3 linked regions of the Caenorhabditis elegans genome follow. The protein of the gene in region 3 purifies or fractionates together with the protein of the main gene of each other region. This does not show direct contact. Each region holds a gene or a part of one and is shown on either strand. Other genes may lie near its edges. The genes, in order: gly-3, pfn-3 and gbf-1.

Region 1 (3,753 bases), 3.9 Mb from region 3:
AGCGATCGGAAATCTGCAGGCAATGGTGCTTCTGGATAGATGTTCTCCAGATACCACTTGAATGATTTACATTGCAACGTCTCTCGCAACTTCTTTCTTTCGCTAACATCTCCAGCTTCAACGTTACGGGCGGCTGGCACCATTTTGTAGAAGAATGCCTTGTATTCGTCCATCCAAACTTCTGCTGTACGTGCTGCATTATGATGGATGACTTTCGCTGTTCCACCTGGGAAAGTGTATGGAGTCTGTTTGCGGAAAACGTGTCCAACACGAGAACATGGATGAATTTCAAGAGAACCTCCACACATCCAGACTCGGAATGATATCTCCAAGTTTTCTCCACCCCATACTTGCATTCCTTCATCATAACTTCCAATATCATAGAAAAATTGCTTATCAATAGCAAAAAGACCACCGGCAATAGTTGGTGTTTGAATAGGCATTGATCTATCTGATCCTCTTCTATTCAATTCTCTCTTCGGTACAGCATACCATCGGAAGTTCAAATGCCAATTAAATCCACCCCATGTTGTTTCGGAAGCAGTCACATATTCGAAGGTATCATCAGAAATTACATCAATTATAGGAGCAACAACTCGTTTTCTGTCTTCAGCGACTCTTGATACAAGTGGTTCAAGCCATCCATCGGTAACCTCCACATGTGCATCCAGGAAGAGAAGGATCTTTCCCTTCGCCATTTCAGATCCGGTTAAGCGAGCACGGATTAGACCGGATCGATTCTCGAGATGAACCAAGTGGATTGGAATCTGAAAAAAGGTTGTCTGTTTAAGTCTAATATCGAAAAATCGAAAAATTTTCGTTTTATTATTCAAATTTTCTGTGTTCTGGCTATCCCTGAGATGGAAATTTTTTGTCTCCATCCTTTAACGAAGAACTAGGGTTACTGTATTTCGGAAGTCGCAATTTACAATTCAACTTATATAACTTACTGGGAACATTTTGATATAGGAATCCAACGGTTTGACCAAGTAATCTCGATCAGACTTATCGTCCACCAAAATAATTTCTTCCAATAAATGACGTGGCGATCGATTGATAACCGAATGGAGTGTTCTCAATAGTGTTGTCCATGCTTCATTATGGAAAACAATAATAATGGAAGTTTTTGGCATTCCAGCAGTTTTCAAATTATTTCCAGACGTGCGGCATGCATCTGATCGGTAATCCGGTAGAGTTCTATTAACTGAAATCATTTCAGAAGCGACAACATTGAATTGATTCTCCAAGAATCTCTTCTCTTTTATAGTTTTTTTGTCTTCTGGAACTGTGACTCCAGTACCTCCTTGTCCATGGTACCCTGGGCCAAATGCTTGAGCTGAAATACACAATTGTTTAAATATAAATTTTTATATTTTGCAATAGCTCACTTTCCATAAGTTTCCTCAATTGATTTGCAGTTTCTTTGTCAACGGGGTAAACTTGTTTCTCTTGTTTTTCAGGTTGAATAGGATGAGCATCTGGATCTGAATCATGTTGAGCTGCTGGTGGTAGTGGTTCTATCCGTCGAGCACGATTCAAGATTCTTAAAAATGATAACAATTAGTTGATGTAAATAATTTTAATAGAATACCTGTTATCCTCCGGAAATGGCTGTTGTTGTGATGTGGATGGATCGAGATAGTAAAAAAGAATAACAACATCAATGAGCAACCAGACGATGGAAGTGGCAATGACAGCACGACATACTGCCGAACGACCACCGCCCACACTCAGCATTCAATTACTCTGAAATTAGAGAATGATTAAAAATTCAGGGGAAAAAAGAAGATAAATTCCGATCAAAATTATTTAACAAGGCTAAATTTTCTTGAATAGTACTGGAAAATTGAAAACATGATAACTTTTGTGATAGAGAATACAAAAAAATGGTTTTAAAAATTCAAATAAAAATATTAATACGTGTCTATTTGAACACGTTTTATATCAAAACTAATAAACCGTGAACAAATTTTTTAAAATTTTTTAACAATTATTATTCCAACAAGCAAAATATACGAGAAGCACAAAAATAATTAAAAGACAATAAAACTGAAATTATCACAGAATTATGAAACTAGAAAGAATAAAAACTGAAGAGAAAAGTGGAAAACTGAGCAAATATTTTTGAATTTTCAGAGAAAGACTACTAATCGGCAAAACTGAGGAATTATGAAAATATACAATATTCAAAAATTAGAAAAAAATAAAGCACAAAATTGATTAGAAGCTTTGTAATGAAGACGGATCAGAAAATATTCAAATATTTCTGCCAACAATATTAATTGGTGTTGGAACAAAAGTAAGAAGTGACTGTGAATTGGGACTTGGAATTGGTGCATTTATTGGAAGAGCCAAACCACACGCGATGAGCCAGTCACCAATATCTCTACCACAACAAGATAAACGAGCTTCACAGGTTGGAACAGCTGGAGCATTTAATTGTTTCCATTGAGACCATCCAGGCTGAGTTGGTTCAACCTGAAATAATTAATTTGCATTTGAAAGTATTCTTTTCATGACTTACCACAACAGGTTCACCACATGCTGCTTCAAAGAATTCTCGAACAGCTTCATGTGACTCGCGGCTCCAAACTTCTCCTCCAGCAACTGGTTTGATTCCTCCGATTTTACACTTGAACATCAGCATTTTTTTGAATGGTGACGTGGAGTTGAGACGTCGCATTGCTTCTTTTCGCACGTATTGGAAAGCGCCCACATCCAGAAGATATACACAATAGGCTTGTTTGTCTGAAAAAAAAAGATGGACATTTCAAGGAAAAAAGGTATAATACTCAGCAAGATTGTAGATGTTTTGTTTTTTTTTTTGGGAAAAATGTGCGAAAAATTCAGATATACTGAGAAACTCACAATTGTTTTATTTACTTTTTCAAAAGTGCAATTTTGAACAGGATATTTAAATTTTTCCAAAATCACAGTTCAATATTACAAAACTATTTTTGCAATTTTTTTCAAAGTTACGGTATTCGGTCTCGACGCGACAAATTTATGTTGAATGAAAAGATGTGTGCGTCTTAAAGAGTACTGTAATTTCAAACATTTTTACGAAAAACTATAAAAATTCCAAAGTAACGAGATCTTTTGATTTACAGTACTTTTTAAAAGCGCACAGCCTCTTGTATTTAATGAAAATTTGTTGTGTCGAGAACTGGTACAGTAATTTTCGAAAATTTTTTTTTCAAAAATTTCCTGGTACAGTAAATAAAATAATAAATAAATATACCTACCAATTTTACTCGCACGAATACACTGAACACGTTCCCAACGATCATCGATAAAAGCCGCGTAGAATCTAAATTTTCAAATATTTAGCTTAAATTTTTTCAAATCAAAAAAAAAAGTCTCACCCTCCAAAATCAGGAGAACTTTCCAGTTGAGAATCAGGCAGAGCACATTCGTCTTTCAACTTTGCATACATATAATCGGGCATCGGGTCTAATGAAAGTTGCCGTAATGAGATGTCCGTGGGTCCTGCAGCGAAAATTGCATTTGCTGGGAACGCTGACATCGGCATTTGAGCAACGGTCATTGGTTGGATCTGAAAATGTTATTCTAAAATTTCTAAACATCAATAGAAGATATTTACCGTCGCAGGTTTGTCAAAAAGACATGTCAAACTGGATGTTGAAGCAGAAGCCGGAGTAATAGGTGAAGTTGTTTTTGTTGGAGTACTCAATCGAACAACTCCAGATGGTTTTTTAAGAAATTCGGTAATTGATAAGCCATCAGAACTTT
Region 2 (3,753 bases), on a different chromosome or scaffold from region 3:
CTAATTTCTTTGTCACAGTTTATTGTTAATTTATGACATTGACAAAAACTCTTTTCTAAAAACTAAATGGGGTCATCTTTTCGATCAACAAATCAACTGTACCAACTCTGAAATTTTTGAATTTTTTTGTAGAGCTTAATTTTTAAAACCAAATTTCATTGGGTGCCCCAGGAAATTTTGTTTTTTCGTACCGTGTTAGTAAAGATATTATGATCCAAATCGTTTTTTTCCAGTTTTTTGGCACATGAACTTTGAAAACGAAATATTATTATTTCATCAAATTTTATCTAGATTCAATTTTTAGGCTGACGTTTCCTGTTGAGTGGACGCCAAAATGAGCCGTCCTAAAAAGCATCCTTATGTTTCAGCGTGCAAGCCGCAAATCAAAAATTCGACATTGATCTCATTAGACACTTTCCTTGCAAATCAATCAATAGTTTTTGAAATTTCGATGGCCGTCGGTGAGCGGGGCTATCCGTTTCCCTTTCTCTCTCTTGAATGTTTTCGTCGCGTCAGTGGAACCTGCAGATAAAGCAAATGAGAGAAAAAGACATAGAGCAAACGACAGCTTTACACTATGATTGTCGAGTTCTGCCCCGGGGATAGGCTCTCCTCTGCCACAGCGACTCCTCTCCCGCCCTTCATCTATCTGCGGTACTTCATTCCCCCGTACACTGTTCCAATCGGCGCGCGCTCTCTTCAGGATCAACACACTGTTCTCACACACACACACACGGGAGGCAAGGAGACAAACTGGTGTCTTACGGCTATTGAGCGGCAATTCAGTCTTAGTCTCACATTTTATGTCCAACAGAGGCTCAGCGAGCAACGAACCCCACGCAAATATCTTCCGATCTCTTTGCGTCCCGGTTTTGAAACGAACGTTTATTGAAACTTTTTGAAAGTTAGATTTCTCACTTTTTGTTAATTTTTTCGAATTGTTTTTATTTATGACGTCTTCCCCATATTGCCGTATTTTCTGAAAATATCAAAAAGTGGTAAATTGCAAAACTGACCAAAAATGAAAATTTTGTTAAGAAATAATTTACCTGCTGTGGCTCTAAAGTCTTTTATATATGTTTTTTTCGAATACTACATTTAATGTAACAAAACTGGTGTGCGTGTACGTGAAAATCTTGAAATTTAGTAGGCATCCACTTTGAGGATAATTTTCTGAGGAAATGCCAAAAATCAGCACCCCAAATGATATCATGGCCGGACATCTACCGGGATTCGGTCTTGCAATAAGCTAACTCACTACTGATGGAAGCACAATGCGGAGCGTAACCCGGTAGATGTCGAGTCATGATAACACTTCTGGTCCCGGTTTTTACAGTATTCCTAAAAGTAACTATCCAATTGTGGGTATTTCAAATTTAAGGATAAAAATACTGGGCCTATTCTTTCTATCTTTTTTTGAATCTCAGACAGGTTTTAGATTTGAGACCTTTCTAGTTAACCTCAATAATTAAATTCTCCAGTACTGGTAACAAGAAATCTCAAGGTTTTTTATTTGCTCTGTAATTCTTGGCTCAAACTCAAACTTTCACTGATTTCAATATTGATGTTAAGCACCTGGTCGTATTAATTTAATGTTGCTATAATGCTTTGTAAAAGTTGAGAAATTTGAAGGTGGCACAAATTTGTAGAAAATTTTACGTCATTTTCTAAAACAAAACTGCTATAAAAATAACTGCCGCTTTCCATCTAAAAGTATCCGCTGAAAATTCTAATAATATTTTATAGACATCGAATTACCTAACAACGAATTATAAAAAAAATTTTGTTGTAAAACCAAGTTTTAGCTTCTATAAAACCAAGTTTTAGCTTCTCCTAAGCAGGTAGTTAGACCTGATTTCATAATCGTTTACCAGACATGCGATCAGATATCTAATCAACATGTGTTCATTACTCATCTCTCCAAACTGCTATTTCAAAATAATTTCTTCATGATTTTTTGGAAAACGTCAGAAACCAAGCGTCATCTGTTTCCATATCTCTCTCTCTTTCTCCCACGCACTGCACAATTGTGCCCCGTTTTCCACGTTTTGAGCTTCTAGACTTTCACTTTTACTTTCAAAGTTTTCAGCACACACAAAACGAAAACATGTCGTGGTCTGATATTATCAACAATAACCTTATCGGGTCTGGAAATGTGAGCAAGGCTGCCATTCTTGGATTCGACGGAGCTGTATGGGCAAAGAGTGATAACTTTAATGTAAGTTTTCAAAGTTTTTAAAATTGTCAAGTTGCCAAAATCTCGACTTTCAGTGGCATGATCAGCTTGTGATTGGTGTTAGAACTTTTTTGAGATATTAAAACTGGAAAGGACTTGCAATTTTCTTAGGCTAGAATTCTAGGTATTTCTCTAGGAATGCAACTCCTGGTCGATACACCACCTCTCTTTGAATCTCATCTCTGATCTAAAAACACTGTAAACTTCTATCAAAATCTATATTTTGTCTGCACCAGTTTTGAAAGATTAGTACATGGTGCATTGACAGATAATGAACAAATACCGCCTGCGTGAGTTTTGTTACTGAAAGCATATTTAGCTTGTTATAAAAATAGTCTTCATGTAGGAAAGGTGTGTTGGTGTACTGTAGAAGTACTTTAGTGTTACTATTGTTCAAAAATACGTTTTATCTATTGAAGGAATCGTCGGTGAAGATGGTGTAGGAATATTGTAGTGTAGGATTATTTTAGTCCTAAAAATAAGGTTTCGTTATTTTTTGGAAAACATAAGTTGAGGCTAGAGTCGGGGCACTGAGCACTGTAGTAGATCAAGCAGTACAATTTGAATAGTAACGTATTTCCAGATCTCCGTCGAAGAAGCCGTCGCCGCAGGAAAAGCCTTCACCTCCTTGGTACCTTTTGCTTCTCTTAATATCATTCTCACCCTCTAATTTTCAGGATGCTCTTCTTGGAACCGGCCTCCGCTTGGAAGGACAAAAATTCTTGGTCCTCAACGCAGATAATGACAGAATAATTGGAAAGCAAGGAGGATCTGGATTTTTCATCTACAAAACTATCCAAGGTGAACTAACTAGGATTACTAGACTGATTTAAACAATCTCTGAAACTTTTAGCCGTTATTATTTCCATCTACGAGAAAGGACTCCAACCAGAAATGTGCAGCAAGACCACCGGAGCCCTGGCCGATTACTTCAGGTCCATCAAGTACTGATCACAATTCCCGAAGCCTCCTGCCGATTTGCCATCCATGTTTGCATTTTTTTTTTTGTATTTTTTCATTTCGTTTCTTTTTTATATAAATAAATAATGAAATAAATATTTATCTTTCTCAAAATTCAAAAAAATAGCAACTCGAAATAAATAATATGAGGTGAAAAGCAAAATAAAGCGGGTGGTTTGATTTCCGAACAAAAAAAGTCAAGAGTGATATGGAAAATAAATTTGGGAAGATGTCATATTATACAGTTTTTGAATTGGGTCCGTGTAGCTTGAAGTTTCCGAAGTCTCCACCTCGTCAGCGTCCAGGTCTGAATTTTTTTTTTGATAAGAACAATTGTTTGAATTCTAGAAGTCTATAGTTTTAGCCCTTTTGGTTCAGCTATCCGGGACTGACCAACTGAACAATTATGTAAAAGTATAGTGAAGCTTAGGCCGATCTTGCTGCAAATTTCGAGTTGGGCCTGCATCGCCCGACACCTCACCGGTTATACAAATCTATAGGAATTCACCTGGCATGGTTAGCCGACACAAGCACGGACCGTATCGGCTAGCCGTACC
Region 3 (3,753 bases):
AAAGTGGATTTTTTTACTGAAAATTGAATTTTTTTTGGTTGAAAATTTGATTTTTTGGTTGAAAATTGAATTTTTTTGGTTGATAATTGGATTTTTTGGCTGAAAATTGAATTTCTTGGCTGAAAATTGAATTTTTTTTGGCTGAAAATTTGGGATTTTTCAGCAAAATTACCTTTCTAAGAAGCAGAGAGAGGTTCTGCTCGAACACAATTCTGAAACAAGACTGCATCATATCACAGACGGCTTCATTAGACAAAAGGATGCCTGGAGGGGAGAGAAGCAGCGAGCGGAGCACCTGGAAAATTGAGATTTTTTGAAATTTTTAGAAATTATCAGGTTTTTGGAGTTTTTTTTTGTGAACTTTCGGCGGTTTTTAGCAGCGCCTGTAAAATCTAAAAAATCGCGAAAAAATACGAAATTCATTTAAATTTTCATATTAAATTTTTTGCGTTAAAAACCTGAAAATCATGGTTTTTGGGAGTTTTTAGGTGTTTTTTTTCAATGAAAAATTGGTTAAAAATTTCTGAAAATTCGAGAAAATCGGATAAAAATGCATTAAAATGGAGTGAAAATCGATTTTTTTTTTAATTTTTACCATGAAAAATTGATTTTTATTTTCGTTAAAAACCTAAAAAATTCCTATTTTCTGCGATTTTAGGGTATTTTTCTGGAGGTTTTCTGGTAGAAATTTGAATTTTTGACGAAGTTTTTTGGCTAAAAATTGGCTAAAAACTCTGAAAATTCGAGAAAATCGGATAAAAATGGACTAAAATTAATTTTTTTAAAAATTTTTACTATTTAAAAGTTTTGAAATTCAATTTTTTTTCCTAAAAATCGTTAAAAAACACTGGTTTTAGTTTAAATTCATGAAAAAGTAATGCCGAAATTGTGAAAACTTTAGAAATTCCGTGTAATTTAGAATTTAAACGTCGAAAAATACGAAATCCATTTAAATTTTCATATTAAATGCATTTATGCATTTTTTTCAAGCGTTTTTATTGGAAAAATGGAATTTTCAAGTTAATTAATGACAAATTTCTCTTTTGTCTATAGAATTGTGGATTTTTCACAATTTCCATAGAAAAAAAACTTGAAAACTCCATTTTTCCAATAAAAAAATGCATGAAAAAATGCATAAATGCATTTAATATGAAAAATCAAATGAATATTGTATTTTTCGCGATTTTTTAGATTTTACAGAAGCCAAAAATCGCTAAAAAATTTAAAAATTTTTTAAAATTTCATAATTGAAAAACGGTAAAAATAACATAAAATTCATCCAAATTTGCACTTCTAATGAAATTTTGGCACATTTCTAGCAAATTTTGCGTTGATTTTTTATGAAAATTGACCTTTTTTCTCGAATTTCTGAGAAAAAGACCTGAAATTCTTAGATTTTCACATTTTAACATGAATTTTCAGCACTCCTGGTACCTGTAGAATCTTAAAAAGGACACATTCATCACTTCCAGTGCTTTTCCCGCCGATAAACTTTGTATGAACCACAGCGTAGGCGATAGACTCGACAGCGTTCGCCGCCTTAATACTGCTCGCGTCAATGAGCCCGTAGTTCAGAAATTTGGCGACAGCGGCCAGCGCGGCTTCCGTAATCGGTCCATTCGTGTTCTGAGCCTTTATTACGTCGAGAAACGGTGATAGATACGTTTGTGGATTCATATCTGCCAGATCGGCAACCTCATTCAGCACTTCCTTGAGATCTGTGAAGTTTCGCAGCAGTGGATCCGTGTCTTCGAGCGTCGGCACTTGTGACAGTTGGTATTGTCTGGAATTTAGTATTAATTTTTAATTCCAAAAACGCAAAATTAATTTTTTTGAAACAAACCTCCGAGCCTTATTGAGCAGCGCGACGACACAATTCGCCTCGCCCATCACGATGTAGACGCCGTTGGTCGCCATCTTACACTGACGACGACCTTCTGAAGTAATTATTTCGATTATAAACGGTTAAAACTATAAATTTATGAACATTTCAAGAAATTTGGCTTTGAAAACGGCTTTTTTGGGTGAAAATTAGATTTTTTGGCTAAAAATTGAATTTTTCTGCTAAAAGTGGATTTTTTCTGCTGAAAAGTGGATTTTTGGTTGAAAATTGAATTTTTTGGCTGAAAATTTGATTTTTCTGCTAAAAGTGGATTTTTTCTGCTGAAAAGTGGATTTTTGGTTGAAAATTGAAGTTTTTGGCTGAAAATTTGATTTTTCTGCTACAAGTGGATTTTTTGGCTGAAAATTGATTTTTTCTGCTGAAAATTGAATTTTTCTGCTAAAAGTGGATTTTTTCTGCTGAAAAGTGGATTTTTGGTTGAAAATTGAATTTTTTGGCTGAAAATTTGATTTTTCTGCTAAAAGTGGATTTTTTCTGCTGAAAAGTGGATTTTTGGTTGAAAATTGAAGTTTTTGGCTGAAAATTTGATTTTTCTGCTACAAGTGGATTTTTTGGCTGAAAATTGATTTTTTCTGCTGAAAATTGAATTTTTCTGCTAAAAGTGGATTTTTTCTGCTGAAAAGTGGATTTTTGGTTGAAAATTGAATTTTTTGGCTGAAAATTTGATTTTTCTGCTAAAAGTGGATTTTTTCTGCTGAAAAGTGGATTTTTGGTTGAAAATTGAAGTTTTTGGCTGAAAATTTGATTTTTCTGCTACAAGTGGATTTTTTCTGCTGAAAAGTGGATTTTTGGCTGAAAATTGAAGTTTTTGGCTGAAAATTTGATTTTTCTGCTACAAGTGGATTTTTTCTGCTGAAAAGTGGATTTTTGGCTGAAAATTGGATTTTTTGGCTCGATTATTAATTAAACCTATAAATTTATGAAGTTTTCAAGAAATTTGGCTTTGAAAACGTGGAGAAATTGAGGTTTTCTTGCGAAATCCGGAAGAGAAAAGCGATAAAATCAAGTGAAAACGACACGTCACGTGCACCGTTTTCTGGTGTTTTGTACGCAAACACCGCCACGGCAGAATGCACAGCGAGAATGTTTTTCGATTTTTTTTTGTTTATTATTTTTGTTTTTCGCTCTTAAAATGTTTTAAAAAGTGTTGAAATTCAATTTTTCACCTAAAAATCGTTAGAAATCACTGGTTTTAGTGTGAATTCATAAAAAGTCATGCCGAAATTGTGAAAACTCTATGAATAATGTGTTTTCTCCGTTAAAAAAAGCGTCAAAACTTGAGAAAAACACATCTTTTTCCAGATTTTCTGACAAATATGGTCAAATCAAAGGGCTTGAAGCTTCTCTGGAGGTTTACAAAAGGTTTTTTCTCAATTTTTCCTCCGAAAACTGCATTTTAAACCCAAAAATTCCAGGAACCGCCGCTTTTTACTGCGTCGGACACTGCATAAGCAAGTACATCGGGGAAATGGTGATCTGTAGTGGTCCATCGATGCATCCGACGATTCATGACGGTGATTTGGTGCTCGCCGAGCGATTTAGTAGGAGTTTTTTGAATGAAAATTTCACATAAAAGTGGCTGAAATTTCAGGTATTCGCAATAAAAACGTCCAGGTCGGAGATATAGTGGGATGTGTGAATCCGCAGAAGCCTAAGGAGCTTCTGTGCAAACGGATAGCTGCAAAAGTTGGTTTTTCGCTTGGAAATCGTGAAATTCATGTTAAAAAACTTAATTTTCACTGAAAAATTGAAAAAAGTTGGTTTTTTTGCCTCATTTTTAGAGCCATTTTCCGCGACAATGGTGGGAAAAACCTGAAATTCAGCAATTTTTTTTTACAAAAAAAAGCAAA

Evidence for each region.
Region 1: the proteins of gbf-1 (region 3) and gly-3 fractionate together in Caenorhabditis elegans (co-fractionation; one large-scale study listed by BioGRID). This does not show direct contact.
Region 2: the proteins of gbf-1 (region 3) and pfn-3 fractionate together in Caenorhabditis elegans (co-fractionation; one large-scale study listed by BioGRID). This does not show direct contact.

What each region holds. Positions count from the first base shown.
Region 1 is NC_003281.10:7,916,022-7,919,774, forward strand, and holds the start of gly-3 (Polypeptide N-acetylgalactosaminyltransferase 3), read right to left. Parts: upstream 1,747-3,753; 5' UTR 1,738-1,746; coding exon 1,592-1,737; intron 1,544-1,591; coding exon 1,389-1,543; intron 1,337-1,388; coding exon 951-1,336; intron 768-950; coding exon 1-767. Other genes in the region: Putative protein tag-250, read right to left, coding at 2,257-2,478, 2,525-2,748, 3,246-3,310, 3,366-3,556, 3,605-3,753.
Region 2 is NC_003284.9:1,078,980-1,082,732, reverse strand, and holds pfn-3 (Profilin-3), read left to right. Parts: upstream 1-2,083; 5' UTR 2,084-2,107; coding exon 2,108-2,218; intron 2,219-2,819; coding exon 2,820-2,867; intron 2,868-2,913; coding exon 2,914-3,037; intron 3,038-3,089; coding exon 3,090-3,187; 3' UTR 3,188-3,303; downstream 3,304-3,753. Other genes in the region: LIM/homeobox protein lim-6, read right to left, coding at 3,394-3,503. UniProt on the Caenorhabditis elegans protein: Binds to actin and affects the structure of the cytoskeleton. At high concentrations, profilin prevents the polymerization of actin, whereas it enhances it at low concentrations. By binding to PIP2, it inhibits the formation of IP3 and DG.
Region 3 is NC_003281.10:11,771,745-11,775,497, forward strand, and holds the start of gbf-1 (Golgi-specific brefeldin A-resistance guanine nucleotide exchange factor 1 homolog), read right to left. Parts: upstream 1,938-3,753; 5' UTR 1,918-1,937; coding exon 1,844-1,917; intron 1,784-1,843; coding exon 1,435-1,783; intron 296-1,434; coding exon 173-295; intron 1-172. Other genes in the region: immp-1 (Peptidase S26 domain-containing protein), read left to right, coding at 3,220-3,265, 3,319-3,444, 3,495-3,589. UniProt on the Caenorhabditis elegans protein: Guanine-nucleotide exchange factor (GEF) for members of the Arf family of small GTPases involved in trafficking in the early secretory pathway; its GEF activity initiates the coating of nascent vesicles via the localized generation of activated ARFs through replacement of GDP with GTP.